Arabidopsis thaliana: one gene and its partners. The protein of the gene in region 4 interacts with the protein of the main gene of each other region in a pairwise test. Each region holds a gene or a part of one and is shown on either strand. Other genes may lie near its edges.

Evidence for each region.
Region 1: the proteins of AT2G01680 (region 4) and CA1 interact in a protein complementation assay, tested with the Arabidopsis thaliana proteins (one large-scale study listed by BioGRID).
Region 2: the proteins of AT2G01680 (region 4) and AT4G30240 interact in a protein complementation assay, tested with the Arabidopsis thaliana proteins (one large-scale study listed by BioGRID).
Region 3: the proteins of AT2G01680 (region 4) and MGT5 interact in a protein complementation assay, tested with the Arabidopsis thaliana proteins (one large-scale study listed by BioGRID).

Annotation. Positions count from the first base shown.
Region 1 is NC_003074.8:191,888-201,185, reverse strand, and holds CA1 (carbonic anhydrase 1), read left to right. Parts: upstream 1-3,025; 5' UTR 3,026-3,312; coding exon 3,313-3,534; intron 3,535-3,621; exon of another isoform or gene 3,622-4,338; intron 4,339-4,460; coding exon 4,461-4,522; intron 4,523-4,680; coding exon 4,681-4,830; intron 4,831-4,930; coding exon 4,931-4,979; intron 4,980-5,087; coding exon 5,088-5,204; intron 5,205-5,344; coding exon 5,345-5,398; intron 5,399-5,491; coding exon 5,492-5,577; intron 5,578-5,674; coding exon 5,675-5,780; intron 5,781-5,848; coding exon 5,849-6,007; coding exon of another isoform or gene 6,008-6,013; exon of another isoform or gene 6,014-6,294; coding exon 6,295-6,333; 3' UTR 6,334-6,760; downstream 6,761-9,298. Other genes in the region: LSF1 (uncharacterized protein), read left to right, coding at 1-12, 175-634, 735-803, 899-1,020, 1,112-1,327, 1,432-1,537, 1,650-1,762, 1,938-2,082 and 1 more; AT3G01490 (Protein kinase superfamily protein), read left to right, coding at 7,928-8,327, 8,804-8,925, 9,190-9,298. UniProt on the Arabidopsis thaliana protein: Reversible hydration of carbon dioxide. Required for photosynthesis in cotyledons. Binds salicylic acid.
Region 2 is NC_003075.7:14,805,666-14,813,364, reverse strand, and holds AT4G30240 (Syntaxin/t-SNARE family protein), read left to right. Parts: upstream 1-3,289; 5' UTR 3,290-3,619; coding exon 3,620-3,702; intron 3,703-3,909; coding exon 3,910-4,024; intron 4,025-4,124; coding exon 4,125-4,709; intron 4,710-4,784; coding exon 4,785-4,884; intron 4,885-4,986; coding exon 4,987-5,006; 3' UTR 5,007-5,043; intron 5,044-5,129; 3' UTR 5,130-5,476; downstream 5,477-7,699. Other genes in the region: AT4G30250 (P-loop containing nucleoside triphosphate hydrolases superfamily protein), read left to right, coding at 538-2,103; AT4G30230 (uncharacterized protein), read right to left, coding at 6,207-6,989.
Region 3 is NC_003075.7:14,119,856-14,127,008, reverse strand, and holds MGT5 (magnesium transport 5), read right to left. Parts: upstream 3,521-7,153; coding exon 3,232-3,520; intron 3,153-3,231; coding exon 2,746-3,152; intron 2,665-2,745; coding exon 2,410-2,664; intron 2,282-2,409; coding exon 2,006-2,281; 3' UTR 1,920-2,005; downstream 1-1,919. Other genes in the region: MRL7 (polyadenylate-binding protein 2-binding protein), read left to right, coding at 181-875, 1,121-1,205, 1,338-1,449, 1,539-1,642; AT4G28570 (Long-chain fatty alcohol dehydrogenase family protein), read right to left, coding at 5,086-7,122.
Region 4 is NC_003071.7:301,557-309,767, forward strand, and holds AT2G01680 (Ankyrin repeat family protein), read left to right. Parts: upstream 1-4,694; 5' UTR 4,695-5,040; coding exon 5,041-5,362; intron 5,363-5,499; coding exon 5,500-5,909; intron 5,910-6,004; coding exon 6,005-6,871; 3' UTR 6,872-7,587; downstream 7,588-8,211. Other genes in the region: AT2G01690 (ARM repeat superfamily protein), read right to left, coding at 7,588-7,752, 7,916-8,203.

The DNA of each region.
Region 1 (9,298 bases), on a different chromosome or scaffold from region 4:
TGGTGATACCAAGTAAGAATTGTACAGTACTAGGCTTCTATATAACTTGTTAATGTTGTTAACTAAACATTGCTGGTGACTAGTTAACATGGGAAGATTTAGCATGGAAACACTTTGCATATCAGTGTTTTTGAAATTTTCTTTTTTATTTCTTCCAGTTTTTGATTTATTCAGGAAGATGCTGGTAGAGAAAACTGGATCCTTTAGCCTTGTTCTTGAAAGACCATTCTCTCCCTTTCCCATTCAGTATCTGCTTCATTTGAGCGACCTTGATTTGCTCTATAACAGAGGGCGTGTGTCTTTTGTTACTTGGAACAAAAACCTCTTATCATCGAATCTCAGAGCATCATCACAAGGCAGTGGTAACTCTGGCTATGCTGCGTTTTCCTCCAAATTCTTTACTCCTCAGGGATGGAAACTTTTGAATAGACAGAGCAATTCCTTTCAGTCAGGGACTAAGAAGAACATTCTTTCTCCACCTATCAGTCCACTGGTCTCTGTCTTTTCAGAAGATGTTCCTGGAGATGGGGAATGGGGTTATGGGAATTTCCCTTTAGAGGAATACATCAAAGCCCTTGACCGTTCTAAAGGAGAGCTTTCTTATAACCATGCTCTTGGAATGCGCTACAGTAAGGTCTGAAATTTGTCTCTTTTTCCCGATTACTCTTGTTTCATGATTCTCTCTGTCTCTTCAATCTCTCAAACACCATTCTTCTCTTGTTGCCTTTTTTCAGATTACAGAGCAAATATATGTTGGCTCTTGCATACAAACAGAAGAGGATGTGGAAAACTTGTCGGAAGCTGTGAGTCTTTTATATGACTTATATTACCTACCTATGGTATGCAAATGATAGAATTGAAAGTATGGTTTTAACTGGCCATACTTTTCTTTCTACAGGGAATTACTGCCATACTAAATTTCCAAGGTGGAACTGAAGCTCAAAACTGGGGGATCGATTCACAAAGTATCAATGATGCATGCCAGAAATCTGAAGTCTTAATGATCAACTACCCTATAAAGTATGCAAAGTCATATCGCCTTGAGGCACATTATGTGCGTTCATGCTTTCATTTCCTACCGCTCTAATCAGTTTTGATATTTTGGTGCCAGGGATGCAGATTCCTTTGATCTTAGGAAGAAGCTACCACTTTGTGTTGGGCTCTTACTACGGTTACTGAAAAAGAACCATCGTGTCTTTGTAACTTGTACCACTGGTTTTGACCGGTCATCCGCTTGTGTGATTGCTTATCTGCACTGGATGACTGATACCTCTCTTCATGCTGCTTATAGTTTCGTTACTGGATTGCACGCTTGCAAACCTGACAGGTTTTTATCCATCTTATCTCTGTCTTGACCATTAACCTGCAGACCATGGATAGCTTTTCTGTTTTAATGAAAACATCAGACAAGTTATATGTATTTTTTCACAGACCTGCAATTGCTTGGGCAACATGGGATCTTATCGCTATGGTGGACGATGGCAAACATGATGGGACTCCAACACACTCTGTAACCTTTGTGTGGAATGGACATGAGGTGACTGTTGCTTCACATGCTTTTATTACTTTGCTGCAATTCTTTATGGAACTCGTGATCTGTAGGGTTGAGCAACTAGCCTCTGTGTTTTAAGTTACACCTTGGTTTACAGGGGGAGGAGGTATTGTTGGTTGGGGATTTCACAGGAAATTGGAAAGAACCGATAAAAGCAACGCACAAAGGCGGTCCACGTTTTGAAACTGAAGTTAGACTTACACAGGGAAAGTAAGTCATGCTTCTTTTACCTTTCCCGTTGATGCTTTTTTTAAGGTTCAACAGTAAAACGTCTCATAATCTTCCCTGCATGTTAATTGTGACTTTTGAGGGATTGCAAACTGCAAAGAAACTTATGAAAATGCATTTGTGTCATATAACTTGGTGATTATTGACAATGTGGCAGATACTACTACAAGTACATAATCAACGGTGATTGGAGGCATTCAGCAACTTCACCAACGGAAAGAGATGACCGAGGAAACACGAACAATATAATTGTAGTTGGTGATGTTGCTAACGTCAGGCCTACAATTCAACAACCAAGAAAGGTTACTCCTACTATGCAGTAGTCTCTTCTTCATACAATAGGAAAAGCTTGAATAAGATGTTCCACGTTATATTTGCCTGATTGGTTCAAGACATAAACCTGAAGCAACTTGTACAATGTTTTGCAGGATGCAAATATCATAAAGGTGATCGAGAGAGTGTTAACAGAGAGCGAAAGATTTAGGCTGGCGAAAGCAGCTCGGTGTATCGCATTCTCAGTTTGTCCAATAAGACTATGCCCAAAGTCGTAGAAGTTTTGTTTTGGCATAAGTTAAAATGTTACATCCATTCTTCTGTCTCTATCCATTCCTCGAGGTACTTAACCCTAATATCGTTGTGAACAACATTGCCACATTCGCGCACTCTATGACAAGAGAATGTTGACATTATGTTGTGTGTTTGCATGAAAAAATGTCGACATAGTTTCGCCGTTGCCCACTTTACATATAAGTCCCAAAACCAACCCTAATGCGTTACTGGTCTCTGTATTTCTTCTTCATTTTCTCTCTCTCTCTCGCTCTCTCCTAACATGTTGAAGAAAATAGAAACTCTGTTATCTAATGTTGCCTATATGATGATTTATGGCCATGGAAGGTCTGAGAGGAGAGACCCTTCTTCTCTATTTTTTTTATTTCCTCTTCATTTTCATGCTAAGAGTTTTCACTGAGTCTGTTGTTTCGTAGAGTAGAACAGTCCATGATCGATGTTAATCCTTTGCATCTTCTAGATTGTGTATACAATAGCAATCTCTGGTCTAGAGAGAGCCTAGAGAAGTATGGATCTTTCTATATGTATACCACAAACAAATGGCCTAACATCTAAAGTGGGTGGTGATTATTTAAGATGAGAGCCTGAGAGGGTAAGTGAAAGAGGCTGATCCTTGTTTTCATGATAAGGGACCTTATCCTCTAAACCTTTCTGAGACCTTTTATTTTTTTATAAAAAAAAGAATTGAAAGAAGAAAAGAGCACGTAAAAGTTTTGAAATCTTGAGCTAATATTCCTCATCCACAAGAAAAGAAGAAAGTTTGTTATTCACCGCAGCTATCGCTTTCGTTATCCTCGTTCCCACAACCTCACCATGACCATGAGACTCCGTTCTTTTAAACTCCCAAATCTTTCAACCAATCCCATTATTCACTTAAGTATATAGTAGCTTCCATAAGAGTCTTAGTTCTAACTATAAATACACATATCTCACTCTCTCTGATCTCCGCTTCTCTTCGCCAACAAATGTCGACCGCTCCTCTCTCCGGCTTCTTTCTCACTTCACTTTCTCCTTCTCAATCTTCTCTCCAGAAACTCTCTCTTCGTACTTCTTCCACCGTCGCTTGCCTCCCACCCGCCTCTTCTTCTTCCTCATCTTCCTCCTCCTCGTCTTCCCGTTCCGTTCCAACGCTTATCCGTAACGAGCCAGTTTTTGCCGCTCCTGCTCCTATCATTGCCCCTTATTGGGTATACATTTTTACATTCATCACTGTTTCTTAACCTACATTATTTCTTACATAACTTACATTGCTGTTTACGTATAATAGGGGTACATTACATAGATAGCAAACTAAAGTTACAGAATTTTAAAATTTGTAAAGATTTTACGAAATTATTATATAGATTCTGCAATTGCCATTTTAGTGATAGGAACAAAAATCTTCTATAGAAACTAGCTTACGAAACTTCCACAAATCTTGGAAACTGTCACATGTGTTTCACATTTCAGTTTTTTTTTCCCTTGGTATTTCCTTATATTATCCTTACTATTATCATCCGTGTTTGACTTTTGGTCTTTAGCGTGGTACTGAAAGAATTACCCAAATTAACAAGAATCAAACTAAAGTTGCTTAATTAGTGAATCACAAGCAAGGGAAGAGTTCATTTTCAATCCTTATTCTATACAGATCTTCAAACTACTTGCTTCGACATCTAGTGAAGTTAAAAACAAATCACCTCGAAATATTAAAAGCGTTGTCTCATTCCTACCCAAGATCCGACATTTTTGAAATTTTGAGAGTTAGAACGTACGTAGGATCCACGTGATAAAAGAAAAGTTGCTAGTAGTAGCTTCAACAAAAACGATTCATGAAACTGAGACGTGTGTGTATGCACATGTACCATATGAGAGCGTGTGGAGCATAGTGGTGATTAAGTCGCCATCTATATTTATTCATTCAACCTACCGATTTGGTTCCTACTAGCGAAAATAAAATCATAATATAAAAGACTATAAAATTGTACTTTATCGTATAATGAAGTTCTGAACAGGTTGATTGTAGTTTCAACATTTAAAACACGTCATGACTCGCTCTCTACTTAATTACGTTCACGACAATAAAATATACTAGTACTCATTTTCTTCTAATTTTATTTGGTCAACCAACTTGCAGAGTGAAGAGATGGGAACCGAAGCATACGACGAGGCTATTGAAGCTCTCAAGAAGCTTCTCATGTAAGTATATACATCTTTTCTATTCGCATGCATACATTAATACATGATTAGATTAATAAAAGCTAAAACATTATTATAAATTAGTAACGGGATTTTTCAATACTACTTAATTCATAATTTTTGTGATTTAACTATAAATGTATATAAACATATGGCAGCGAGAAGGAAGAGCTAAAGACGGTTGCAGCGGCAAAGGTGGAGCAGATCACAGCGGCTCTTCAGACAGGTACTTCATCCGACAAGAAAGCTTTCGACCCCGTCGAAACCATTAAGCAGGGCTTCATCAAATTCAAGAAGGAGAAATACGAGTAATATATATTTCTATTTCATTTGTTTGTTCTTAATTATGTCACCAACTAAAGTGGTCTAGATTAATTAACTGGTTCATATTTATACTTTTATTTGCAGAACCAACCCTGCTTTGTACGGTGAGCTCGCAAAGGGTCAAAGTCCTAAGGTAAATTAAAAATAAAACTAATACTATGTGTATATCATGGTTGCTTATAAATTAAAAATGAAACATTAAGAAAAAGTAATTAACAAAGGTGTGTGAATGGTGGTGCAGTACATGGTGTTTGCTTGTTCAGACTCACGTGTGTGTCCATCACACGTTCTGGACTTTCAGCCAGGAGATGCCTTCGTGGTCCGTAACATAGCCAACATGGTTCCTCCTTTCGACAAGGTTAATAATTTAACACGTCTGTCTCTCTATAGATATAAACTCTTCTATCTTAAACCTTCTGCCTCTTGAGTCTTGACTTTTGTCTTGAGAAGTCGTGACATTCACTTTCTATTTTCATTTTTGGGTTGCTAAATTGGCAGGTCAAATACGGTGGCGTTGGAGCAGCCATTGAATACGCGGTCTTACACCTTAAGGTGAAAATAAAATAAAATAATTAACACCTTAACCAAAAAAAATTATTTATCAAAGTACATGTAATTAATTTTTGAATGAATTTATTACTGTAGGTGGAGAACATTGTGGTGATAGGACACAGTGCATGTGGTGGGATCAAAGGGCTTATGTCTTTCCCCTTAGATGGAAACAACTCCACGTAAAATATCTCTATATCCATTTTATTAAAATTTAATCAATTTTAATAACAGGATTTATTAAATGAGATTAGTAAAAAATATATACGTTAATTGCAGTGACTTCATAGAGGACTGGGTCAAAATCTGTTTACCAGCCAAGTCAAAGGTTATATCAGAACTTGGAGATTCAGCCTTTGAAGATCAATGTGGCCGATGTGAAAGGGTATACAAACACATGTTAGATCGATGAGCTGATCATATATAACAATATAAATGTATTGATAAATGCAGGAGGCGGTGAATGTTTCACTAGCAAACCTATTGACATATCCATTTGTGAGAGAAGGACTTGTGAAGGGAACACTTGCTTTGAAGGGAGGCTACTATGACTTCGTCAAGGGTGCTTTTGAGCTTTGGGGACTTGAATTTGGCCTCTCCGAAACTAGCTCTGTATGAACCAATCCATCATCATCATCATCATCATGACCATCCATCATCATCATCATTATTATCATCGTATATAATATATATCTACCCCATATGTAATTTGTAATGTGCCTTTGACTGTGATGAGTTATCTCTCCCTCTCTACCAACTTTCTTCATATATATAAAACAAAAAGGAAAAGCAGATGATATAGATCTTTCGTGGTTTAATTATGAACAATTGTCTTTATTATTTGTGTATCAAATCGGTTGTATTTATGGTTTGATTTTATTTTCTATGTTGTTTGGTAGGTTAAAGATGTGGCTACCATACTACATTGGAAGCTGTAGGAAACTCTTTGAAGCCTTACCCGATTTCACATTGTCAATTCAATAACACCAAGTTGTTGTTTACATGCAGATCTTGATGAAACTGGTTTTTGATTTTACAGAATTAAAATCTTGGGGGACAGAAATTTGAATAAAAACTAAAAAAAAAAAAATCAAAAAAAAATCATTGAATCGTAAATAAGGATATCCGGGACGGGCGGATCCGGATAATGAAAAAAATGAACCCGGATATCCGGATCCGGTACCATTAACTACATGAAATAAAAAGGCTTGGAAACCCATTTAGCTAAAAGCCCATATATTTAACAAACCAAATATTTTTGATACCCAAGCCCAATTAATTATCACTTGCCGACACAAACACAAAATCATTCTTTGAAGGTCACAAAATCATTTCGATCTCTTCTCGATATCTCACAAACCCTAGAACTCTGGATCTTTTAATTTCTGGGTTCGATACCCAAATCCTTAAAACTGTCGAATTCTGGTACCCGGAACCCGGATATCCCAGTCTAACAGATCCGGATGCGGATAGTGAAACTGTAGATTTGTAGCTTCGTAGTTTTTTGGTCATATAAAATATAAACATCTGAAATTTGTCTGTGTATGTTGCTGTTTAAATTTGTCCGCCTACACATTATGGGCCTAGGCCCAAGTTTGCAATTCTTTATTGTGGCAATTAAATGGTCAGGTTCGGTTTAGGTTTTACATATCCATCATGAAAAAGCACCGTTGAACGGGCTTAAATCTTTGTCCAAGGACGACGTTTATGAATCCGGTATAAATCGATCGAAGAAGATTAAACCCACAAAACGAAAAGGCTAAAGCTTGAGGAAAAAGTAGCAAAGTGACCAAGAGTCCCATGATTTCATGAAGACATGAACTATATATATCTACTCATTGATTTGATAAATACATTATATTTGATGTTACATATTTTTATTTGAGATTTCTAATATATATTTTCAGAATGATAAATTTTATTTTTATATTTATCTTGAACTGATTTTTAAGAGAAAAATACACCGAAAGAAAGCGAAGAGTTAATTGCCTACCAAAAAAAAAGAGAAGAGTTAAAACTTTTTCCTTAAAAAATCTTAAATAAATTGAAAAATAAAATCAGAAAAAAATAAATGATAACAGTATATCAGACCATTGTTTTGGACTTTTGGGTCCGGATACAAATTATTATCCAAAAGAGAGTTGTGAGAAGTGGAGCCGACACACGTCGACCCCTAGCACCTTAAGGACACCCCATGTGGTCACGTGTAAACGTTTGTTTGTCATAAAAGAAAGGTTTTTTGAGTATGAAGAAATCTGAGAAGTCTAATCACAGAGAAGAGAGAAGCGAGAGTTAGCCTCTTCTTTAGTTGTTTGTTGCAATAAACACAAACACAACTTCCCTATTTTCTGCTTCTTTTTGTTCAACTCCTACACACTCCAATCACACAATTCACAACCCATTGAGAAACCAATAAAATAACCTCAATCAAAAAAAAAAAAAAAAAAAAAAAAAAGATGAAAATCTCAATTTAGTAAAGGAGAAAAAAGCCATTTCGAATAACTTGAAAAGGTTTTGGTTTTGCAGAAGAAAATGAAGGAGAAGGCGGAGAGTGGTGGAGGAGTAGGATACGTGAGAGCAGATCAGATAGATTTAAAGAGTCTGGACGAGCAATTGCAGAGACACTTAAGTAAAGCATGGACGATGGAGAAGAGGAAGAGTTTGAGTGATGGTGAAGATAACGTCAATAACACCCGACATAACCAGAACAACTTCGGACATCGACAGCTTGTGTTTCAGAGGCCGCTTCTTGGTGGTGGATATAGCAACAACAACAACAGCAGCAAGAACGACATAATTAGGTCGACCGAGGTTGAGAAGTCGAGGAGAGAGTGGGAGATTGATCCTTCTAAGCTTATAATCAAAAGTGTGATTGCTAGAGGTACTTTTGGTACGGTTCACCGTGGAATCTACGATGGTCAAGATGTCGCCGGTACAATTTCTCTTTCTCTCTCCCATCATTCATAACTTTTTGTTTTTATTCTAAGAAATATGTTTTAGATATGTATACGTACCCTCTTTTGGTCAAATTATTTAGAGAAGAATCGAAACTTTCTTTCCGAAAAAAGTAAATAAATAATCGAATTACATGGAAAATATTATTCTTAAATTTAGGTTTCTTAATGATCAAGTTAAACAAACATGCATTAGTTAGTGTAATGATTTTTTCTTTTCTTTTTTTACTCTAGGTTTGGTAATATGTTTAACATGTACACATTAATTTTTTGCTAATCCGCTAAATACCGGCTGATATTTATATTCCGTAATTTAGTGATAGATAAAGAAACTAACAATTTTTTTTTTTCTTTACACTTATCAGTGTAATTAACAAAATTTGGATGTATTCAATTGAACCTTTTTCTTTGGTAACTCTTGATTTATGTGTGAAAATATTGTTAAAAATAACAGTAAAACTACTAGACTGGGGAGAAGAGGGGCACAGGTCAGACGCAGAGATAGCTTCGCTTAGAGCTGCTTTCACTCAAGAAGTTGCTGTGTGGCATAAGCTCGACCATCCCAATGTCACCAAGGTACGTACACTACACTCACTCTTTTATACCGGTGAACAACCGAAATCGAATTAAACTTAACCGATTAATTGAAACATAATCAAGTTGCTATAAACATGAGTATTCACCCCTAGGCACATGTATAGATAAAGTAGGTATACGTTGATGTCTGTTTTTTAATACAAATGTTACGTCTTTCTGAGCATTAAATAAAAGATGTCATGTGTTTTTGGTGTATAGTTATATTAATTTTGTTTGGTGGGAAATATGTAAAAACAAAAAAAGTTCATAGGAGCGGCGATGGGGACATCGGAGATGAGCATACAAACGGAAAACGGGCAAATGGGAATGCCGAGTAACGTTTGCTGTGTCGTGGTTGAGTATTGCCCCGGCG
Region 2 (7,699 bases), on a different chromosome or scaffold from region 4:
GTTGGACAAAAGAAAAAGTCGAATAGTATCCGATGTGAGATTTACATGTCACATAACCATTACCTCTTGGCAGTCCCATTCAATCGATAACTTGTAATTTGTTTTTTGTAAGCCTAGAAACCATAGACCTATGAAATAATTGAGTACTAGTTGCTCATATAATTTGTACAATACACAATACACAACAAAATAAATGGTCATATCCGCAAATATCAAAACAATATTTTCTTTAGTAAAATAACAAAGTAAAATGTCTCCTCGACTCCTCCAATTGCTTATAAATTGAGGTGATCCCTTATTTCATTATTTCAATAAATTCCACCAACGTCACTCTTTCTCTTCTCCCAAAAGCCTCAACCAAACATTTTCCCTCCCAAATCTCTAGAATAATAACTTCAAAAAATCACACTCTTATCTCCATAATTACACTAAACCTACTCTTCTCTCCTCATTTAACCACAAACCCACTTCTCAATTTCTCTAATTCTCTACCCAATTTTTTTTTTTATTCAAAGGGAAAAGAAACAGAGTAAGAAAATGAAAATGAGTGATTATTGGACAACAATGGCTTCTCTACTTGGCATGTTAGCCTTTTGTCAAACAATCGTCCAACTCGTGTTTCCGCCTGAACTCCGACTAGCTTTCCTCCACTTCTTGACACGTATCCGCCACGTGTTCTCTTCTCACATCTACTTCGACATAACGGAGATTGACGGCGTCAACACCAACGAGCTCTACAACGCCGTTCAGCTTTACCTCAGCTCTTCCGTCACCGTCAACGACGCAGTTTCTAGCAGCAACAACAACACACGTCTCAGCTTGACACGTGTTCCTAACTCAAGCTCCGTTACTTTCGGCCTCTCCAACAACGACAGAATCACCGACGTATTTAACGGCGTCACTATCCTCTGGGAACACGTCGTTGTACAACGTCAAGTACAGAGCTTTTCGTGGAGACCAATGCCGGAAGAGAAACGAGGGTTTACGTTACAGATCAACAAAAGAGACAAAGCCCTTGTCCTAGATTCTTACCTTGATTACATTGTCGGAAAATCAGAGGAGATTCGTCGGAGAAACGAGGAGAGACTGCTTTACACGAACTCAAGAGGTGTTTCGCTCGACGCGAGGAGCCATCCATGGGATTCTGTAAGATTCAAGCATCCAAGCACGTTCGATACTCTGGCTATGGATCCTGAGAAGAAGAAGCGAATCATGGAGGATCTAAGGGAGTTTGCGAACGGACAAGGGTTTTATCAGAAAACGGGAAGAGCTTGGAAACGAGGTTACTTGTTGTATGGACCACCTGGAACTGGCAAATCGAGTTTGATTGCTGCAATGGCGAATTACCTTGGTTACGATATTTACGATCTTGAACTCACTGAGGTTCAGAACAACTCTGAATTGAGGAAGCTGTTGATGAAGACTAGCTCTAAGTCTATCATTGTCATCGAAGACATTGATTGTTCTATCAGTTTGACGAAACGAGGAAAGAACAAAAAGAAGAATGGGAGCTATGAATATGATCCAGGTTTGACAAACGGGTCGGGTTTGGAGGAACCGGGAAGCTCGGTGACTCTGTCGGGGCTATTGAACTTCACAGATGGGCTTTGGTCTTGTTGTGGGAGTGAGAAGATATTTGTGTTCACGACAAATCATATAGAGAAGTTAGATTCTGCTCTGATGAGAAGTGGGAGGATGGATATGCATGTTCACATGGGTTTTTGTAAGTTTCCGGCTTTGAAGATTCTGTTGAAGAATTATCTGAGGCTTGAGGAAGAAGATATGGATAGTGTTGTTTTGAAGGAGATGGAAGAATGTGTGGAGGAAGCAGAGATTACTCCGGCTGATGTTAGTGAAGTGTTGATTAGGAATAGGAGTGATGCGGAGAAGGCGGTGAGGGAGATTGTGAGTGTGTTGAAGGAGAGAGTTGTGAAGAGAAGGAAGAGTGTTGGATTGAAGAAGAAGAAACAGGAAGGTCAAGAAGAAGAAGAAGAAGCAGAGGAAGAACAAGAGAAGAGAGCTTTGGATAGTCCTAATAGAAGAAACAGAGAGGTTTGTGGGTTTCGAGAGGAGGAAGAAGAAGAAGATGAGAAGGAGAAGTGAATGATAAGAGACTGTTTATCCTAGGATCATCATCTAATGGTGGTTCTTGTGTGTTTTTAATTATCCGTTTTGTTTAGTCAAAATTATTATAATATATGATTAGTTACCATATAATATAACGTTATCCATTTTGGTTTACTCTTAAGTCAAAAGTAGGCACTGTCCAAAGTTAACCTTCTGAGATTTGCTACATGAGAGTTGAGACTAAACTGGCTTTTGTATCTACTAATGCTGCAGAAATTGCCACTTTGTTGTTGTATATGTTGTCTCAAATTTTCGTGTCGGTTACGTTTGTTTTGAAGAGATAAAAGAGAATTGGCGTTTGGACTTTGGGTGTTGTAAATTGGTTAGTGTCACACCCTTTTTTATACAGGTTATATGTGAAACCTGTAAATTTCAAAATTTATAGTTCAAGAAAACAATTTACTCGAGAAGTGACATTTAAAGAATCATCACATCAAACACTTGACTTCAAACTAGAAGTGACCTGAAAAATCCATCCGTTCTTTTTTTTTTTCTAAATATAATATTGACCGCTGATTTTTGACATATTGTAGTAGTGAAGCCCAATCCTACCCAAAGAGATTTGCATCAGAAAAAAGTTGTTTTATATTATGGGCCCAATCTTTTTGATCAAAAAAAATATATATATATATTATGGGCCCAATCTCTAGAATCTACCACCGGTTAATGTCTAAATAAGAACAAAAACAGGTCTTGGTAACTAATTAAAACTGAAAACACCAAAATCAAGGTTGGGATTTGTTGAAGAAGGTGGTATTTCACCATATCACAACAACTAATTAATTAAATTTATTTAACAAAACATGTCTCTCCAAAACTGAAAACACCAAAACATGTTTTCATTTTATGAATTTCAATTTAACTAGTTAAAATTTTGATATCACATGCGCTACACATGCCACCTCAATTTGTCCTGCTCCTACTGTCTATTACTAAACTAAAAGTTAAAATTAGCGTTGAGTTTTTATTGAATTTATTTACTCATTAGCATTTGACTTGTATAGAGAGTATTAAAATAAAGAATAATAATAATAATATAATGCGGTTGGCGAACAATTGATGTTGCGGCAAACCGGTAGGCCCAACAACAACACGGACATTCTTGATGTTTTTCTTTGACAAGCGGTAATCTCCTGCAGCTAAGACCATCTTACTTTAAATTATTTCCCAATTACAATAAAACACGTGTGAAATATGGTCAATTTAGTTCAGAGAGGCCTCTTTATTAAAATCTTCCATTAACGTTTAAAGTGAAGAAAGCAAAGAAATATCGAAGAATTTAAGGAATAAAAAATAAAAACAGAAAGCTGGAGGAAGAAAAAATAAAAATTCCTTCTTTCCTCCTGAAGGCAAAAAAGGAAGAGAAGAGAAGAGAAGAGAAGGAAGCAGAATCTAATTTTGGATTATAATCGGAGAGAGAATCTATTCCGACGAATCTTTTCGGGTTGATTTTTTGGTCTTTAATTTGAAGGGTTTAGGTGTGGTTTCGAAGATGATGGTAGCGAATAGTTTCGATCTATGGCAAAAGGATGTTTTTTTCTCTGCAGCTGAGGAGGTTCAAGAATCTGCTGATATGTATGTGTTTTTTGATTCTCTGTTTGTTTAATTGACTCATGTTGCTTGTGATGGTGGAATTCGGAATTTCAATTGAAAAATAGGGTATTTCGATTGTTTAGGGGACTAATTGGCTCTAGAATGGTCTAAGTGAGAACCTTTGTGTTTTGTGAAGGAATTGAGTTATCAAATTTGAAATTTTGTTTCTTATTTGTGTTGTATTTCCAGAATGGAATCTGCGTATAGGTTGTGGTTTAAAGAGAAGAGAGACGGTCGAGTATCCGTAGAATCAGACGAGCTCTGCAAAGAACTCCAAGCTGCTTTGAGCACTGCTAAATGGCAGGTATGAAACAATCAATGGTCCTTTGATCATTCCCTTTTTTTTTCATGGTTACTCATGAGTGTGTTAGTGATATTGGTTATATTGTTGTGACTTGAATCAGTTGGAAGAGTTTGAGAGGGCAGTGAGCTTAAGCCATGGAAATTGTCGAGATGACACTACCTTAACTAGGCATAAACAGTTTGTTACCGCTATTGAAAACCAGATTTATCAAGTGGAATCTACTCTGCTAGAGTCGTTAAGCGAGAATGGGAAACAACCTTTGCGTTGGGTGGATCTTAACAAAGAAGAGCGTGATGATCTCGCCATGTTTCTATCTGGATCTTCTCAGACGTCAGAGAGTTTAAACAGTGATAGCATCAACTTGAGAGATTCCTCAACGAGTTCTGTAGCTGAGAATCCACGTGGGATCAATGGCAGAAGAGAGGGTAGATGTTATGGCGACAGTCCTGATTGTGTGATAGACATTGACGACATAGGAAGTCCGGAAAGTGCAGATAAAAAAGGCGGTACAAGAAGAACATGGAGTTCACCAAATGTACCAAATATCAGTGCGTTGAGGATTAATGTCCCTGTTAATGCAAAAGAAGAAGAGAGGGAGAAGTTCCTATCACATATTGAAGACACTCCTAAAGAGAAAGGAGCTAAACCTATGTTTTGGCTGCAGAGATGTCGTGATTATAACCAGGTAAGCTTCTGCAGTTTGGATCATCTCTACACTATTAGAAAGGATCATAAGTCTTAGTTGTTTATCATTTTGCAGCTCTTTGACAGAGTCAAGGTTTATCAAAGACGATTTCGCGTTCCATTGAGCCGCCCTATTAAGCTCATTCTTTCCTTAACGCTAATCTTGATTCTTCTATGTGAGTCCTTCTCTTGGTTCTCATGAGTTATGTCACACCACTGTTCCATGACAGTCTCTACTCTCTATAACTGAATCAAATTCCTTGTTTATACCCTTGCAGTATTCATCTTGAGAACTTAAAACCGCGGTTTCAGAAACTCTCAAGAAACATTGACAGGTAAATGATATTTTAGATTCTAAATCAGAACTCCAAGTTTTCTAAAACAATCTTTAAACATTACATCCTTTTCGTGTATCTTGCAGGTTTTTTCACAGATTCTTGCGTATTGGGTTACACACTCGTTAGATGCTACATGATTCAACATCCTTCGAGGGAAGGAGGAGAGATTAAAAGACTTTGTCAAGATTCAAATGAAGGACAAAGCCTGATTTATTACTCTCTCTTAATCCTCAGGGAACATATAGGAACCTGTAAATTTGTAAGATCAATTTGTAAAACTTGAAGCTACGACGTTTCGTTAAACTTTAGACGTGTACCTAAAGGAAACCAATGCGTGTTTGTGCTCAATGATATCTCCAGTGTTTGTTTGTCTCTCAGATATTTGTTTTGGAACAAAACATTCTTTGTCCTCTTTCACTTACTTGGCAAGTCATTTGTTCCAATCATTGTCTTACTTTCTTTTAAAATGCGCATTATAGTTGACGTCTCAATTTCTTTCATCACTAATAGTGTCACAGCCCAAAAGTACCAATTTAGGTCAATTCTAAGCTAAGTAAAAAATCTTAATATTAGGTCGTATCATATAGACATATGATAATGGTGAAAAAGATTTATGAAGAAAGAAAAATGTCTAATAATTTTCGAATCTAGAAGTCTCTGGACAAAAGAAAGGTGCATGTCACAGTCTCTCAAGATGGAATTTGATCATACCATTTATCAACCATGAACTTCGAAGCACAGATAAATGCTAAAAAATGATACAACTTCCTGTCTAAATCATTAAAAATCGACTAGTCCCATTGGGAAAAGTAAGGTAATAAATTTTTCTCATATCCTTCTCGTGCTTCTTTTGATCATCATTCATTCCTCACCTAACCAATTCAATTTCAAAAACAATTTTATTAAAATATATATTGAAATATTCTAAATGAGCTGAAATACAAAATAACGAAAAAATCAAAGAAAAAGAAAAAGGTGTGAATAAGATGTGTTATGGTCCAAACTATTATCGATTCACCAAATAAATTACAATTTCGACATTCTTTCACAAAATAAATTAACAATATCGATATTTCTTATACTAAATGACGATCCTATCCTTCTTAATCAACGGCAGAGCAAGTAACCGCGCACAATGTTCGTAGGAATAATATAGTAATTTATGGATGAGGAACCCAAAACGGCGCCGTAGCAGCCACGCTTGTGGGCTTCTTGCAACTTAAAGCGTTGAGAAACCTCCAAGAAGGTGACGGTGATGGCGACCGAGATCCACGAGCTCTCCTGTTAGCAGGAGATGGAAACATAACCGGTGGAATATTCCGGCGAATCTGACGGCTCTTTATATCCTTGAGTTCGATCTCCGGCGGAAACTTAACCATTCCAAACATGATCACATACCATCTTGGCCTTACACTTTTTACACTTCCCGAAGACGTTGTTTCAGGCTTCCCCGTGTTTTTAGTCGATGAACTATTTTCCGGTGGAGAATGTACGGTGGTTAGACCACGTGAAAGCTTACGATAATCTAAAGAGCGGCTTGCCCTCATAGGTCCCGCATTGTCACGACGTGCCACGGTACAACTACCGGGACGGTTAAGCTTATGGCCTTGTATCGCGGATAAGGACTCAGACCGTGAACGGATTCGACGGCTAATGTGCTCAGGAGGTGAAAAGAAAGCATTTTGGTAGTTTAAAGGGATGAGTTTCCCGCCAAAGATTATATTTTCTGCCGGAGCTACGTCGTAGGAGGATGAGGTTAGAAACTCAAAAAGTTCCGTTGACGGTTCTTTGTGGTCTTCGGTGGTGGTGGGATTAGGATTCTTGGCTTTGAGGGGAAGATCTCGGAGAGATAGTGCGTCTTCTTTTTCTTCTTCTAGGTGATGTTGAAATGGTTTTGGGAGTTTAGTAGGGTTTTGGAGATTAGTGTTTTTTGTAGTTTCCATGTTTTTTAGGGAGAGAGAGAGAGAAGACAATGAAGATATTGAAAGTATTAATTTTTGTCACCATATATATACATGGTCTCTAGAGGGGTCAAATACTTTTACAGAACTTAAAGTGGAAACTATTTTGTTTTACGGGTTAGAATTCTTTAGGTGTATTTATATACATGCATATATTTGTAGATTGTTGACCATCCGAAGTTTCCGTTTGCCAAATTTCTCATGATTTAATTATTTCAGGTCGATATATGACATATTATGTTGGTAATAACAATAATACAATTTTAATGACAAGAAAGATAGCAAATCTTACTTATTATTTATTATTTAACCACACAAAGTGTCTATTAATATTAACTAACTCTAGTTTTCATATATAGTTTTAACGACAAGAAAGATAAGACAAGTAACTCTAGTCTTCATATATAGCATTGATCATTTATTCATGAATCTTTCCGATTTTTCAGCTTAGAAAATTTAGTTATTCAAAAGCATGGTCAAGAATGATAGAGATAGAATTATTCAAACACAAATTAATAATGTTTGAAAATTTGAGATTTACATTTCTTCATGATGTAAAACTTTGATTGAAATGCCTATATTTTTTAAATTCTTTGTCAAAGACTATATGTTTATACATATGTACATAAATGTACCACGATCACACAAATTTGCATAGATTTGTACACCCAACCGGTAAAATAAAAAGACTG
Region 3 (7,153 bases), on a different chromosome or scaffold from region 4:
CTGTTTCGATTATATAAACTAAACCAAGTATCGGGAAAGATAACCGATCCAAATCAAGGACAGTAACACAAACCGAAATAATCCAAACCGGGATTATACAGACAAAGTGGATTATAAGAGCAAAAACTCAGTTACCAAAAATTTCTGCGAATTTCGTTTTGAATTTAGGAAACGAGAGAAATGAGTTTCTTCGCTGTTGCTTGCTCCGCGCCAAGATCTTCTATGCTTCTCACCGGCTTGAATTCGAGCTTCTCTGATATGCATCGCAGCCCACTATTTGTTTTCCCGGTGACTATATCATCCCGGAGCGTGAAACGCTTCGCCGCTGTTTCGTCTGATTCCGTACTAGACCCTGAATCCAAAAATCAAACTCGGTCCCGTCGCAAAAATAAGGAAGCAGTTACGCCAATTGCTGAAACCGAGAACAATGAAAAGTTTCCGACAAAGGTCCCGCGTAAATCGAAGCGTGGGCGGCGGAGTGAAGCAGACGCTGTGGAAGATTACGTGAGAAGCTCCCTCGAGCGTACTTTCTCCACCATAAAGGAGCAGAATCCGGAGGTTTTTGAGAACAAGGAGAAGGCGAATTTCATCAAAGACAGAGGCGTTGATGAAGAAGAGGAAGAAGAAGAAGAGATGGTGGTGGAAGAGGAAGATCCAGATTGGCCAGTAGATACAGACGTTGGATGGGGAATCAAAGCTTCGGAGTATTTCGATACACATCCAATCAAAAACGTGGTTGGAGATGATGGGAGTGAGATTGATTGGGAAGGTGAGATTGATGATAGTTGGGTCAAGGAGATCAATTGTTTGGAATGGGAAAGCTTTGCTTTTCATCCTAGTCCACTCGTTGTCCTTGTATTCGAGCGATACAAAAGGTATAAGCTTTGTTATTTCATTGACGAATTTTCACAAACACTTGGTGTGCATAGTAGAACTATGAAAGCTTTGTTCTTTTTCCTTCACAACATTATCTAGACTATGATTACAAGTTGAAAGAGCCATTTGAGTTAGATTCCATGATCAATTAACTGCAATGAGTATAAAAACTGAAACTTGTTCTTAGAGTGACCAAAATCTACTACTGTTGGAATAATTTTTTGAGTTGTTGTGCGTTTTATAGAGCTAGTGATAACTGGAAGACATTGAAGGAGCTTGAGAAAGCTATCAAAGTTTATTGGGATGCGAAAGATCGATTACCTCCACGGGTATGTCGAAAGCCTTCTCTAGTTGCAGTTTTAACTTGAACATTACTCTTTGTGTACTAATCTCTCTTGGTGTGATTACATGTTAATGTGGCTGCTCTCTGTTAACAAGAATCACCATGTTTTATGAAACAGGCGGTTAAGATTGACCTGAACATCGAGACAGATTTGGCATATGCTCTTAAAGCTAAGGAATGCCCACAGATTCTCTTCTTACGCGGAAACCGGATTCTGTACAGGGAGAAAGGTGATAAGCTATGTTGCTAACGTTGTTTTCATGTTTTTTTGCAATATGTGTGAGCAATAGATTATCATAGCGTATTGAACTTGATGCAGACTTTCGCACGGCGGATGAATTGGTTCATATGATTGCGCATTTCTACTATAAAGCGAAGAGGCCTTCGTGTGTCGACAAGGCTAATGTAACCCCGTACTGTTAGTTTGTAACGGGCATAGAGTAGTTTCACTCAAAAGGTCAGTCTAGGAAAATTTACATAAACTTCACTCATAGATTGTTAACATTTTTGTATGTTCTATGCAAATATAAACTTGTTCCCAAGTAATGGATTTTACTCGTCAATCTGTGCTTTCCCTAACACGTTGATTCGTAACCAATGATGCATACATATATCAAGAAGCCAGCTCCTTTTATAGAAAAATTGTTTGAAGGATAAACTATTAATGCAAAAATCCATAACATAAAAACAAAAGCATTGAATCAATAAGAAAAAGCAAACTAAAAAAAAAATGAATTCCACAAAGCTAATCTCATAATGACTAAACCTAATGTGTTTAGTCTCTTATCAGTCAAGTAGCTTCTTCCACTTGGCGTAACCAACGGTGACTATGAAAAGCACAATGCAAAGCGCAACGACAGCCCACACAACGTAACCAAAGATGTCAGGTGTGCTATACAATCCAATTGGTATATTCATACCGAACAAGTTGACCACCACTGTCCCTGCAGTTATTGCATAATTGCCTATATTCACAAGCATCATTAGGTGGATCAGTCCGTTACGTCTACTATTCTGTAGTATCTTCACGTAGGCTTCTGTGCTGTCAATATGCTCCTTCATCTGCAATTCAAAAAAATATTAAATTACCAAGGACCGGGCATTAACACATAACAACCAAACATAACCCGAGCTTGCATCTAAAACTTATATGGTTTTCTTAGACCTATTTAGGTACATTTACTACTTACCAAAAGAATTTTGTTCCGCATTCCCTCTAGTTGCATGAAGTATGCCTCAAGCAACATCTCCATATCATCAATGTCATCTTCCTCCGTCACCATACTGGTGCTTATTCTGTTTGATGTGTGCCGTTGAAGATTTGGTTGGGAGACAATGCTATTTGATGCTGCCTCGGTTTGTTGGTTTTGAATCCATTTCCTCGTTAAGTATAAGTCTTCCATGTCTTCCTTGTCATCTAAGAAATGTTCGATTTCATCTCTCACCTGAATAATGTACTATAGCTTTTATGTTTCCGTCCAACACACAACATTATAGTATCATTGGAAAAGGTAATAACCTTTTACCTTTTGTACACGGGCTAGCAAGTGGGTGAGACTAGTTTTTAAACTTCTTAGGTCTTTAAGATTCTCATTGCTGACTTTCTTGGTTAGTTCATCAAGAATAGACCAAGCTTGTGTCTCAAGGTCTACCACATTGCTATCAACAAATGAGCAGAAGACCTCGAATGCAATCTCTAGTACCCGAAATTCAAAAGGAAGCTTACTCTTCAAACCCTCTTCTCCACCTTCTTGATGACCATGAGAAGAAGCTTGCAATATATTTTCAGGACCATCCTTCCGAGGAAAGTGATGCTTTAGTCGGTCAGTGAGTGTAAGAACTTCAGGACGGAGAGAATCCAACAACATAACTTGTTCTGAAGTAATTACCGCCTTTATGACCTCTAAATTCAGGACAATAGCTTTCTCTCTGGCTGCGTCATAGCAAGACATGGATTTGTTATTGTCTGTTGTGAAAACTAGTCAGCAAAAAAGACACAAACGTGTGTATACCTAGAATTTTAGAAGAGTGCGAGAAGGCAGTTCTTAAATCCTTAGCCGAAACAGAAGAACGTTCGATGATGGTGCTCTTGTCACATCCAGCCACTTCCATGAATCCAGTCCGATCAAACCTCGTCCATAGACAGACTCCTCCTCTTCTCTTCTTTGACTTCCCCGTCCCTCCCACGATTGCACTACAAGGCGGAGTAGGAGGCGATAGAGATGAAGGCATCCTATTCATCTTCACCGCCGTACCCTTCTTCCGGCTGCGGTTGCTCGTACTACGGCGAAGTGATCCCATTGACTTACCTGCAGCTGGTCAGAGATCTCTCCGCCGAGTCCTGCCGCTTTTGCTTGACTTTCTATTTTTCCGACGACGTACCCGAGCAGGGTTTGTGTTGTGTGTTTCGTTTCGGTTTCGGCCATGCGTTTGTTGTGCATTTAGGTTTGGGAAGTGTTTATTAAGTTATTAACTAATATAAAGTCTTTTTTAAGTGATTTTTTAATTGATTTTTTGCTTTTCTTAAAACTTGTAAATAGTTTTGCATATTATCATAGATATTACGTTTTTCTTTATCAAGATAAGTATGAACTCTTGTGGAATTATCTTGGAGATCTTGCATAATCTTTGTAGTGTTTGTTTGTTAGAATCCTTTTTTTTTGGATAACTGTTGTATGTAAAATCGCCAAACACAAACAATACACCACGATAGATGCAACTATTGAAGGATAATCTAATAATTCAATAATCTATAGCATAAAAATAAAGAACCCTTAAAACAATTAGTCATACTAAAACAAACAAAACAAATTCAACAACCCGCCCTACTCTGATTTTGCATCTCCAAAATAATCGTTCCTATCCACACCAAAAAAAAAGAACTATTTAGTCATCACAATTCCTGCAATTATTAACTATACTTTTCAGAGAAAAAATGTTGATTACCTTAATCGACGGAGGGAATTATTCACTCGCAGAGACATCAGTCGTACTCTTGTCTCTAAAAAAATTTAGAATCTCTCTAAACCAGCACGACAAAATAGCCGAAAGGATGACGAAGAAGACAACGATTACGGCTATGGCATATGAGGTAGCACTATTCATCTTGTTCTTTGCAACACAACGATTTTTTTGTTTAGTCACTTTTGTTTATGTTTCGTTCTTCTTCGTTTCGAGACGATTATATTTTATAGACAGCTCCCGTTTGTATGTTAATAAGGAAATTCCTATATCCTTTACATTTTCATAAAAGTTAAGTATAGTCACGTAAATATTAACTTTACATTTTGACGACAAAATTTTAAGAAACATAGTAAACTTTACAACAACAAAAAAAAAAAAAAAAAAAAACAAACAAACAGCTTTAAGCCCAAGCATCTGTGGTCCAGTGGTAGGAGAAGATTTGGGGAAGGGTGAAACTTCCAGACCTGGGTTCGATCCTCTCTGAAACAAAAATCACATTTGTTTGGGAATTCTGTCAGTTGGGATTTGGCCCAATTGGTTTATCTAGTAGGCAGAAATACAGGCGGCCTGATTACCCCCTGGCATTAGTCGGAAGGCATCCAAATTCGGGACAGATAGTGAGGTGGTCCTTCGGAAAGAAGTCCATTCTGAAGTATTTCGGTGCATTTCTACCGGTGCTGACCAGATCAGCCGATAGGGTTTATCAAAAAAAACAAAAAAAAAAACAGCTTTAACGTTCTTGAATCTTGGTGCATATATGATATATCATTTGTTTACATCTTTGTTGTCGTCAAGATAAGTTATTCCATGATTCTTAAACAAAATTTGTCTTGCAAGGAAAAACATATTTATTCGATATGAATACTAATGGGATGGTTTCAGTTCTTTCTTTTTTTACTTCTCTATACTTTTGTTTTGTTTTGCAGCGAGTCAACTATCTTTGAGGAGATGCAGTAAGCAGTAGACTGAATGGTGATCATTGGGTTAACCCCAACAGCTGATGGCAATATACTTCCATCACAAACAAACAACCCCTCTGCTTCCCAGCTCTCACCATTCTCATCCAACGCACCTTCCTCCGCGGTGACTCCCATCCTACAACTACCCATCTGGTGAGCCGAGAAGTACGTCGTCCAATACTCTCCTTTTGTGCCAACCCCACCAACAGCATCAACTTCGTCTAGAAACTCTTCCATGGCTTCTTTAGTAATTGCCTCACACTTCATCTTCTGTCCATCACTCCTATATGTTCCGACTTCAACTGCACCAGCTGCAACCGAAACCCGCAAAGCTTGTCTAAGACCTGCCCTCAGATTCTCTCTATCTTTCTTGGTTGTCCTGTATGTAACTTCGTTTTCCATCATAACCTCACCTGACCCTAAGTCCCGAACCAGAGCAAAAAGATGAGCTGTTCTTCCGTACTTAATCATCCTCTCTTTAAGGTCTGGTCCTGAAACCCACGGGCTCAACCCTGCGTAAGAAGCTGGTCCTATCAGTGGATTCTCCAGTATTGCTTTGCATCCAGATTCAGTATCATTCATATGATGGACGGACGTGATGATCCCTCCCTCATACATTTTCCCGGAGAACTCAGAATCTTTCTCCGGGAAGTATCCCCATGTCATCAGAACCGGGTGCAGCTTTAAGTTCCTTCCAATGTTCGGGTTCTTTAGCCCACTCGAAAGCATCAGAGGCGGTGTTAACAGCGATCCAGCGGATGAAACCGTTACTCGAGCTTCGATAATAAACTTCTTCCCAATCTTTCCTCCAACAGAGCTAGCAAACACTCCCACACATCGTTTCTTTCTCTCATTGCTACTACTAGTGTTGTCTACTAATACAAATCTCTCAGCTTTGATCCCTGTCAGGATCACTGCACCATTCTCTACAGCATCAACCAACCAGGTTTGATCTGTCCCGTTCTTGGCTCCTGCTCTACATCCATACCCGCACAAGCCACAGTAATGATCCTCTGGTGAGTTCCTTGGAACTGATTCTACCTGCAAACCGAGTCTCTCGCACCCTTTCCGCAGAACCTGATTCTGAAACCCGTGTTTGACACATCTTTCCGTGACACCAATCCTTATCGTAACTTCATCCATTGCAGACTGATATTCTTGGCTACCAAAAAACTTGATCTTACTCCCTTCAGACCATTCCTGCAAAACATGATCCGGTGTCCTTATAGATGCAGACCAATTAACAGCTGTACCTCCTCCAACAGCTGAACCAGCCAAGAGCATAAATTTCCCATCAACCGTAGTCAAAAGGCCGCCTTTTTCGTATAACTCGAGCATAGACGGAACTTCTAGACCCGAATAGTCATGAGCTGTAAAGTAGTTTCCTTTCTCTAGAACCAAGACTTTCAATCCAGCTTTAGCTAGGTTTGCAGCTGCAACACCTCCTCCACTTCCTGAGCCTACAACAACCGCATCGCATCTGATCCTGTACACATTGTCACCATCGTCTCTAGCAACATGAACACCTTTTTCAGTTAGAGATTGTGTGATGGTTACGTCACTCTCATGCATAGTTTCAATGATCCCTTTCTCTAGAGGTCGTCGCTTCTCATCTGCTTCACTCTTCTTGTTGCTACTTCTCTCTGTCCCATCGATGCAATACCCTATAGCTTCCAGTGCAGGATTCTTCAGATTCTCATCCGTCTGGGAGAAGAAGTAGAAGAGGGTGTAGAATTTTGCAAGGAAGAAAGTGATACGAAATGGAAGAAGGAATCCACTTTGTCTAGACCAATTTCTCAAGATCGCTTCTCTTTTATCCAATGGAAGTTGAGAGAATTTAAGAACAAAAGGCCAACTCTTATCAAGACAGAGAGACCCACAAAGCAACAAAGTTCCAAATCTGAATGACAAAATCATCAATATGATTCTCAAAACTTTGACTGCTTCTGATCGTCCGTTTTTCACTATCATCTCCGCCACCTAGATTTAAATCCAAATCAAACAACAAGAA
Region 4 (8,211 bases):
TAGCAAAAACAATTATGGTCCATGTTCAATTTTTTGAAATATAGATCCTAATTACAAATGTAAATAAGATTTTGACCTTTGTGTACACTAGTTTTTATGGTAATTTTATTTTTTCATATTTTTAGTATTTTTGTTGCTATTTCGTATCTTTAGTTCTTTTTTCGTTATAGTAATTTTTGATGCTATCTTATCATGTTGGAAAATTAACCCCATATGCATATATGTTTTATACTCCTCTTCTAAAAAGAAATTACTTATTTCTCTTCTGTTTTTTCCCACACTTTAATTAAAAACATCATTTTGTTTACATGCAACAATATAGCTAGAGATGTATATTTAAAAACCCAATTAAAAGTTTACATAGAAATTCATAAAATATCTAACCATATAAAGCAATAAAAACATTTGGAACATCGACGTATATGAAATAAGCATAATTGTTTTTTCCCTAATAAGTATACTTCATATAAATGTTCTTCCAAAATAATTTGGTGTAGTTGTTATGTAAAATATATATTTGGATTCGGCTTTGTTTATTATGACTTTATGAGTTTCTTTTATTCTTCTTCTAGAAATATTATTTGCAGTCTCTAGAAAACTAACGATTTATTAAAGAATTTTAATTTGCCGATTAAAGTTTTCTTCTAGAATTAACATTGAATTTTGGAATACTTTCTACGATTCCATGCATTTTAAATTAGAAAACCATAAGAATATCGAGAAGAAGGAAAACGACTTTCTAGAATTTGATTTGAATTTTAGTTGCTTCAAAAACATCGATTTTAATTCATTGTTGAGTAGTAGACTGAGAAGCTAAAATGTATGAAAATATAATATTTTACTCACAAAACCTAAACCTAACCCCTCTCCCTCTCACATACTATATTTATATTACGTACTATTATGAAAACGACGTTGAATCTTGAATGTAATGTCTATATATAAACAGTTAATATATAATTTAACGTGACATGAAAAAGCGTAGAAAATTGGTTACACGAGTTAAATATAACCATTTCTTTCGGTTGGTGGATCGAACTTTGCATCGACCTTTTACTGGATTTGTTTTCTTAACCACTACAAAGTTTATGCATCGATCGGCTGTAGATTTGTGACCTTAGTTTGAATTTCGGTTTAAAAAGTTAGTAGCTATATCAAAAATGTTAAACTAAAATATTGGTGAGATATTAATTATAGGACTAGAACCCACAGTCTATAAATTTAAGAGAAGAAAAAGAAAAAGAAAGAAGATGTCGGCATCAGAGGAAGACCGGAGCAAGTCGTGAGAGTTGAAATGGTCGGACACCACATGCTCTCTTTCCCTCTCTAATAATACATTATGCAAGTTATCAACTCTCTCTCTTTCTCTTTTTTTTTCATTTATCACTAATTGACAAATTATAATTGTTATAAAAATGCAATATAATTAATGGATTTCAAATATTATCTATTTTTTCTTCCGATATTTGATTAGAAAAATTACTTTTTAGTGTAATTTTAAGTTTTGGTGTTAAAAAAAACTATAATTTTAAGTATTATTTCAGAATATAATTTGATCTGAGATGGGGATAGTTATTGGGTAGGCGGATTTGCCCTACATATTGACAAATGCTAGGCACTTTTAATGGAGTTGTGGGGAATTTACTATGGTCTGCTGATTGTTTGGGAGAGAGGCTTAGGAAAGTGGATTTAGAGGTAGATTCAGAGTTGATAGTAGGATTTCTTCAGTCAGGGATAAGTGAGGCATATCCGATAGCTTTTGAGATATGTTTGTGTCATAGTTATTTTTCAAAGAATTGGTTAGTCCGAATTTCTCATGTGTATAGGGAGACTAATCGTCTAACAGACGAATTAGCAAACTATACGTTTTATTTGTAGTTAGGTTTTCATACATTTGATTTTTGCGCTGATGTAGTCCATTTGATTATGTTACAGGACGCAGTGGAAACAGACGTCGAGTTTGTTTATAAATTTTTTGTAATTTAATCTAATAAATGGTGAAAGGCAATTGTTTCCTCCACCCTACCAAAAATAAAGAATATTCCAAATGAAGTTCCATAATATTCTTCGGGGTGTAGAATAGAGGTGTTTTCTTACAATTTAGGACGTCTATACTAGTAGCTATGATTGAAACCAAGACAAATCCAACAATTGTGGTCCAAAACAATATTGTACATTGCTTAAGGAAAGCGTTGAAGATAATAAATCAGAATTAACCAAAAAGAAAGAAAAATAATAAATCATTGTTATGGTCGTCTTATGGATCCTAGTTATATACGAATTGAGTTTTCATTCATAGTTGAGAACGAATTCGTTTGCTCGCGTGTGAGTTTAGATCGTGGTTGTTTTTGTTTGATCGTCTACTAGTGTTAATTAAGATCATTATTTCTTAAACCCTTGAATGGTTCTTCTAAAACCTATGCAATGACCGTGAAAACGTTGATGATATTAGTTTTAACCAAAGAAATGTTATGCTAATAATGATATTGTGATGTTAAATTAATAAAGAAAAGGTTATGCTTAGCATGATCCCAAGCGATAATTCGTGTGTCCTATCATTAGGTTTGGAAAAACTCTACCAATCATAGACGATTAGACCAGTATAGTTGATTATAGTTTTCAGAATTCAGATTTCAGACCAAAGATAGAGTTGTGGACGTAGGTTTCTTGATTTTTGTTTTGTTTCTGTTTATGTTTTTTTGTCGTTATACATGGATAAAAAAAATTCCAACCAATCGTTACCTTGAGATGTGTAGTTGGACTTTTATTGCCTCATCAATACACTTATACAAAAGGTTCAATTTTCTGTCTAATTATGGACATGTTTATTTCAAATGTATGGTAATCTTCCAACACTTATAATACCATAATGAAAAATACTTCTGTTTATATATATATTGAACTGAGATTCAATTAGTGCCACCCATGTGACCTGATGGACTCTCCGTAGACAAATGTGGGGGCAATTTTGTTGGATCAACCAAACCCAACATTTATTTTATATCTGATTTGAAGATTACATTAGTAAATAAACAATGGTTAGAGTCAAGTTTATACAAATATATGGGACCCAACTAATAAGAAAAAAAAATTATTGACGTCAGATATATACTAATAAAGTATATAACAAAGGACCCTCAGTGCATGTAATTAATATATATTTTCCAATAAATATCAAACTATAGATTTTCTAATGTATTTAATGTTATTATTTCTAACTAGTAATTAATTGATAATTTGACAAATAAATTTTTGTTTCACATTATTCTTATATAAAACTGTAAATGATTTGTAGCAAAAATACAAAACTGTGTATATAATATACTTTATAAATAGTTTCTATGTATTGGATCCAAGTAGGATTTCGAAGACTTTGAAGGGCACATCTTTTTCAAAGTTTACTTATACATATTTAATGTAAGATAAAGTCATTGTTTATATGTTTTTTTCTAGAACACTTAAATTTCCACAATATGATAATTTAAATTAATTGAATTTTGTTTTACTTTGGTTGGTTTGTGGATAAAATCCAAATATTACAGTCACTATCTTTCGACGTGTCTCACTTGCAACCTAATCCTTTTCTGGAATGTAGCTTTTTTTTTGTTTGTCAATTTTATTTCTTTCTCTCTTAATCCATAAAAATTTTAGGCATTTTTGTATTACTGTCAAAGAACTGATTAGCTATGTCTTCTATATATCTAAAATAAACCATAAGAATCATAGTTCATACTCATTATGGTATTCTTAATTTTCTGAAACTATCGATAAAATGTTAAAACGTTATATACAAAAAAGGACTATCAACGTAGCAATAAAATGAATTTAGACTTATATGAAAGCTAATGGTGACGAAGAAGTTGACGGTGATGCCGGTCATTTGGGTCGGTGGTGGTTCCGTCACGGAGACTTTGACGGTGCATTATTGACGTCAACATGAAGTAGCTCTCACAAAACACAAAAAGGACCGTTTAGTTTGCTAGTTATTAAAAATATAATGGGCTTCAAGCCCATAATAACATGTCTTTTTACAAAACAGAAGCCACGTATTATATAAACCCATTTTTTAATATATAAATAATTGGGCTGTACTTGGGCTTGGACGGTTTCACTCTTTTATTTTTATTTTTTTAAAGTTTTTTCTATATTAGTAATGATATATTTACAGTGGAAGCCTTTTTGGCGGAAAGTTCTATTAATACTTATACACAAAGAAATTGAGGTTCAAGTCCCAAATACTGTGATTTATTAGCAGATAATGGAGATAAGTGTGCAAGAGATCTCGAACGATGTACAATTATAACTGTTTGCCAGGATTTGAAGATCTTTCAAGGTGTCCATCAAAAGCATGAAGACGGAGAAGAAAGTGTCGTCTTTCGTGGATCTAATAAAGATCGAAACAAATTACCCATAATAGAATCGGCTATATAACGGTTCTCATAAATCATAATTTGCAATAAATAATAAATCTAAAACGGTAAAAGAAAAATATATTTACATGAAAATAACATGTCATTTTAAATATTTCCAGAATTAAAATATAATTCCAACTGTCAACGGTCCATATACGTTATCTATAGACTATATAGTACATAAATTATTTTAAAAAGACAAATAATTTGTTTCGAGAAATAATGTTGCTGTCTCGTCAAAATTGGAAAAAAAATACATTTTAAAATACAGAGAAACGAATTATTGAGAGGAGAAATTTAGAGACCATTCAGGTTTTGATTGAAGAAAAAAAAGATTCCCATTTTATCATCTTTTTAGTTTTTAGTGTCAACTCTCCAACAAAAGCAAAAACCTTAAAGAATTTTGTTCTTTTTTTAAAGCAAAAGAACCAAACATGGTTTCACATGAATCCCAATTTCATTGCAAAGCATAACTAAAAATAAAGAAGAAGACTTTTTGGAGATCGAATCTGTTCATGTTGATGGGTTTTGGCTGAGCTTTCTAGAGATAGAGCTAGAGAGTACTGGGTCTGTGTAAAGTTGATAACTTTTTTTGGTTTAGAGAGAGAAAGGACAGAGCTTTACAGAGATGGAGATGAAGCAGATGAAGTTTCTTACTCACCAAGCTTTCTTTTCCTCTGTTCGATCAGGAGATCTTAGTCAACTTCAACAGTTAGTTGACAATTTAACCGGAGATGAGCTAATCGATGAGTCATCGCCGTGTTCTGCTGTGGCTGAGCTTATGTCTGTGCAAAACGACGCCGGAGAGACCGCCGTCTATATCTCCGCCGCAGAGAATCTTGAAGACATTTTTCGTTACTTGATTAGGTTTTCTAGTTTGGAAACAGTTAAGATCAGATCCAAATCCGACATGAACGCTTTTCATGTCGCTGCCAAGCGAGGTCACTTGGGTATGTCTCACTAATTCTGACTTCAAATCTTCAAACTTTGGCTCTCTGATTATGATTTTGAATCTGAAATTGCTGAAAATGGATTTGAATTTCGTAGTTTGAAGATATTTTGATGTGGCTCTGCTTATGATCTCCAGGAATTGTGAAGGAGTTACTGAGACTATGGCCAGAGCTTTGCAGAATCTGCGACGCTTCCAACACGAGTCCGCTTTACGCAGCTGCGGTTCAAGATCACTTAGAAATAGTAAATGCAATGCTTGATGTTGATCCTAGCTGTGCAATGATTGTGAGAAAGAACGGGAAAACATCTTTGCACACTGCGGGAAGGTACGGGCTTCTTCGGATAGTGAAAGCTCTCATAGAGAAAGACGCAGCGATTGTTGGTGTTAAAGATAAGAAAGGTCAGACTGCTCTTCACATGGCTGTTAAAGGACGAAGTTTGGAAGTAGTCGAAGAGATTTTGCAGGCTGATTACACAATATTGAATGAGAGAGATCGAAAAGGGAACACTGCTTTGCATATTGCTACTCGAAAGGCGCGGCCACAGGTATTACTCCACTCCTTTCTTAGCTTCTTGTATTGCTAGTTAGCTTTCAAGAACAGGGGTTGACACATAAATGCCTTTTGTGTTTTGTTTATTAGATAACGAGCTTATTGCTGACCTTTACGGCGATTGAAGTGAATGCGATTAACAACCAGAAAGAAACTGCTATGGATTTGGCGGATAAGCTGCAATATAGCGAATCTGCTTTGGAGATCAATGAGGCTTTGGTAGAAGCTGGGGCTAAGCATGGGAGGTTCATTGGTCGAGAAGATGAGGCGAGAGCATTGAAGCGAGCAGTGAGTGATATCAAACACGAGGTGCAATCGCAGCTTTTGCAGAATGAGAAAACCAACCGTCGTGTCTCTGGGATCGCGAAAGAGCTGAGGAAACTCCACAGAGAAGCGGTTCAGAACACGACTAACTCCATAACGGTAGTGGCGGTTCTGTTTGCTTCCATAGCGTTCTTGGCCATATTCAACTTGCCGGGTCAGTATTTCACGGAGGGGTCGCATGTGGGACAAGCCAATATTGCAGGGAGAACCGGATTCCGCGTGTTCTGTCTTTTAAACGCGACATCTCTGTTTATATCGTTAGCGGTTGTGGTAGTTCAAATAACTTTGGTGGCGTGGGACACACGGGCGCAGAAGAAAGTTGTGTCTGTAGTGAATAAGCTAATGTGGGCAGCTTGTGCTTGCACATTCGGAGCATTTTTGGCGATTGCATTTGCGGTTGTTGGAAAGGGGAACTCGTGGATGGCGATTACCATAACGTTGCTTGGAGCACCGATCTTGGTAGGGACATTGGCAAGTATGTGTTATTTCGTGTTTCGGCAGCGGTTTAGGAGCGGCAACGATTCACAGAGAAGGATTAGGAGAGGGAGTAGTAAGTCGTTTTCATGGTCTTACTCTCATCATGTATCCGATTTTGAAGATGAATCAGATTTCGAGAAGATTATTGCTCTTTGAATTAAGTTTCTTAAGCGTCTTTGTATAGATCGTCTCTTCTCTTTGCCTTTCTTCCAACGCAAGTCTGTGTTGTATTCTTAGAATAAATCTTGTTGGTACATATTAGTATCATATATAGCAATAAAGTCGCCACAGGCCATATCTGTATTGTTTCTTTTGTTCTACTACTGGAAGTGGTTAGTATATGTACAATTCATTCGAGTACTAGTGAAGTGTAATGTCTCTTATTAGCAAACATTGTATAAGATGTAAATCATTGTGAGATGAGGAAAATGTAAAAAGGAGCATCATTTGACATAAAATATCCAATAAGTGACCTCTACAAACTCATGTGGTTTTCCAGTTATAAAAAAACAACACAAAACCACATGATCACTTCTTTTTCTTACATCTCCACATAAGGTAAAAATATAAAAAGCTCCAAACAATGAAACAAATTCAAAGAAACGAGAAACCCCCAAAAAAACAATATAAAGGTAGACTGAGGGACTGAAGAAGAATCTCTCGTAAATAAAAAAAACCCGACAGAGAGAAAGAGATGATGGACACGACCGTAGCTTTTCCACAAGTTCCGTCGAAACTTGAAGAGTTACTAAAAAAGAGAGATATACAATTTTACAGGAGACAAAAGGGATCGGTGGTGTCCACACAAAGAAGATGAAGATGATGATTGTCGGGGATGGAATATTATTTATTATTTATGATTACCAGGTAGGTTAAAGCTGTAATTGACCAGGGCCTTTTCTTGAAGTTCTTGATGGAGGTCTATTGTTATCTGCAACTGATGATGATGTCGAAGAAGGTGGTGGTCGTTGTTGTTGTTGTTGTTGCTGTTGTTGTTGCTGCTGCTGCTGTTGTTGTTCTTCAGATCTCCTCACCTCCTAATACATCAAATTAAAGCACAATGAGACTATCCATATCTCTTAACACTCCAATTGCTAAGGGAAAAAACCGGTAAATCTTGCAAAAATGGCAATAATGTTACACCATCCTGTTATATTATACCGCAGGTTAACAGACAAAAATGTGTAGCGTTATGTGTACCTTTGATGTAGAAGAAGAGGAAGAGTGATATGAGTAGTTCACTCTAGTCCTTGCCTGGCCACGATGTAGATTCTGTACGTTTTCGAACTGTTGTAGCCGCACAGCAAAATTGATTCCTTGGTGAGAACTGTTGATGTTATCGTCTTCTAAGTCACCGTCCTCGTTTTGATGCTTATACTGAGAGAAAGGAACTCCTGAAGTTGCTCTGCCTATTTGGTTTCCAGTACTGAATGAGTACGTTGGCACAGTTTTGAGTCTTGTCCTAAGTATCTTGAACGCCGCACTTTGCTGCATAT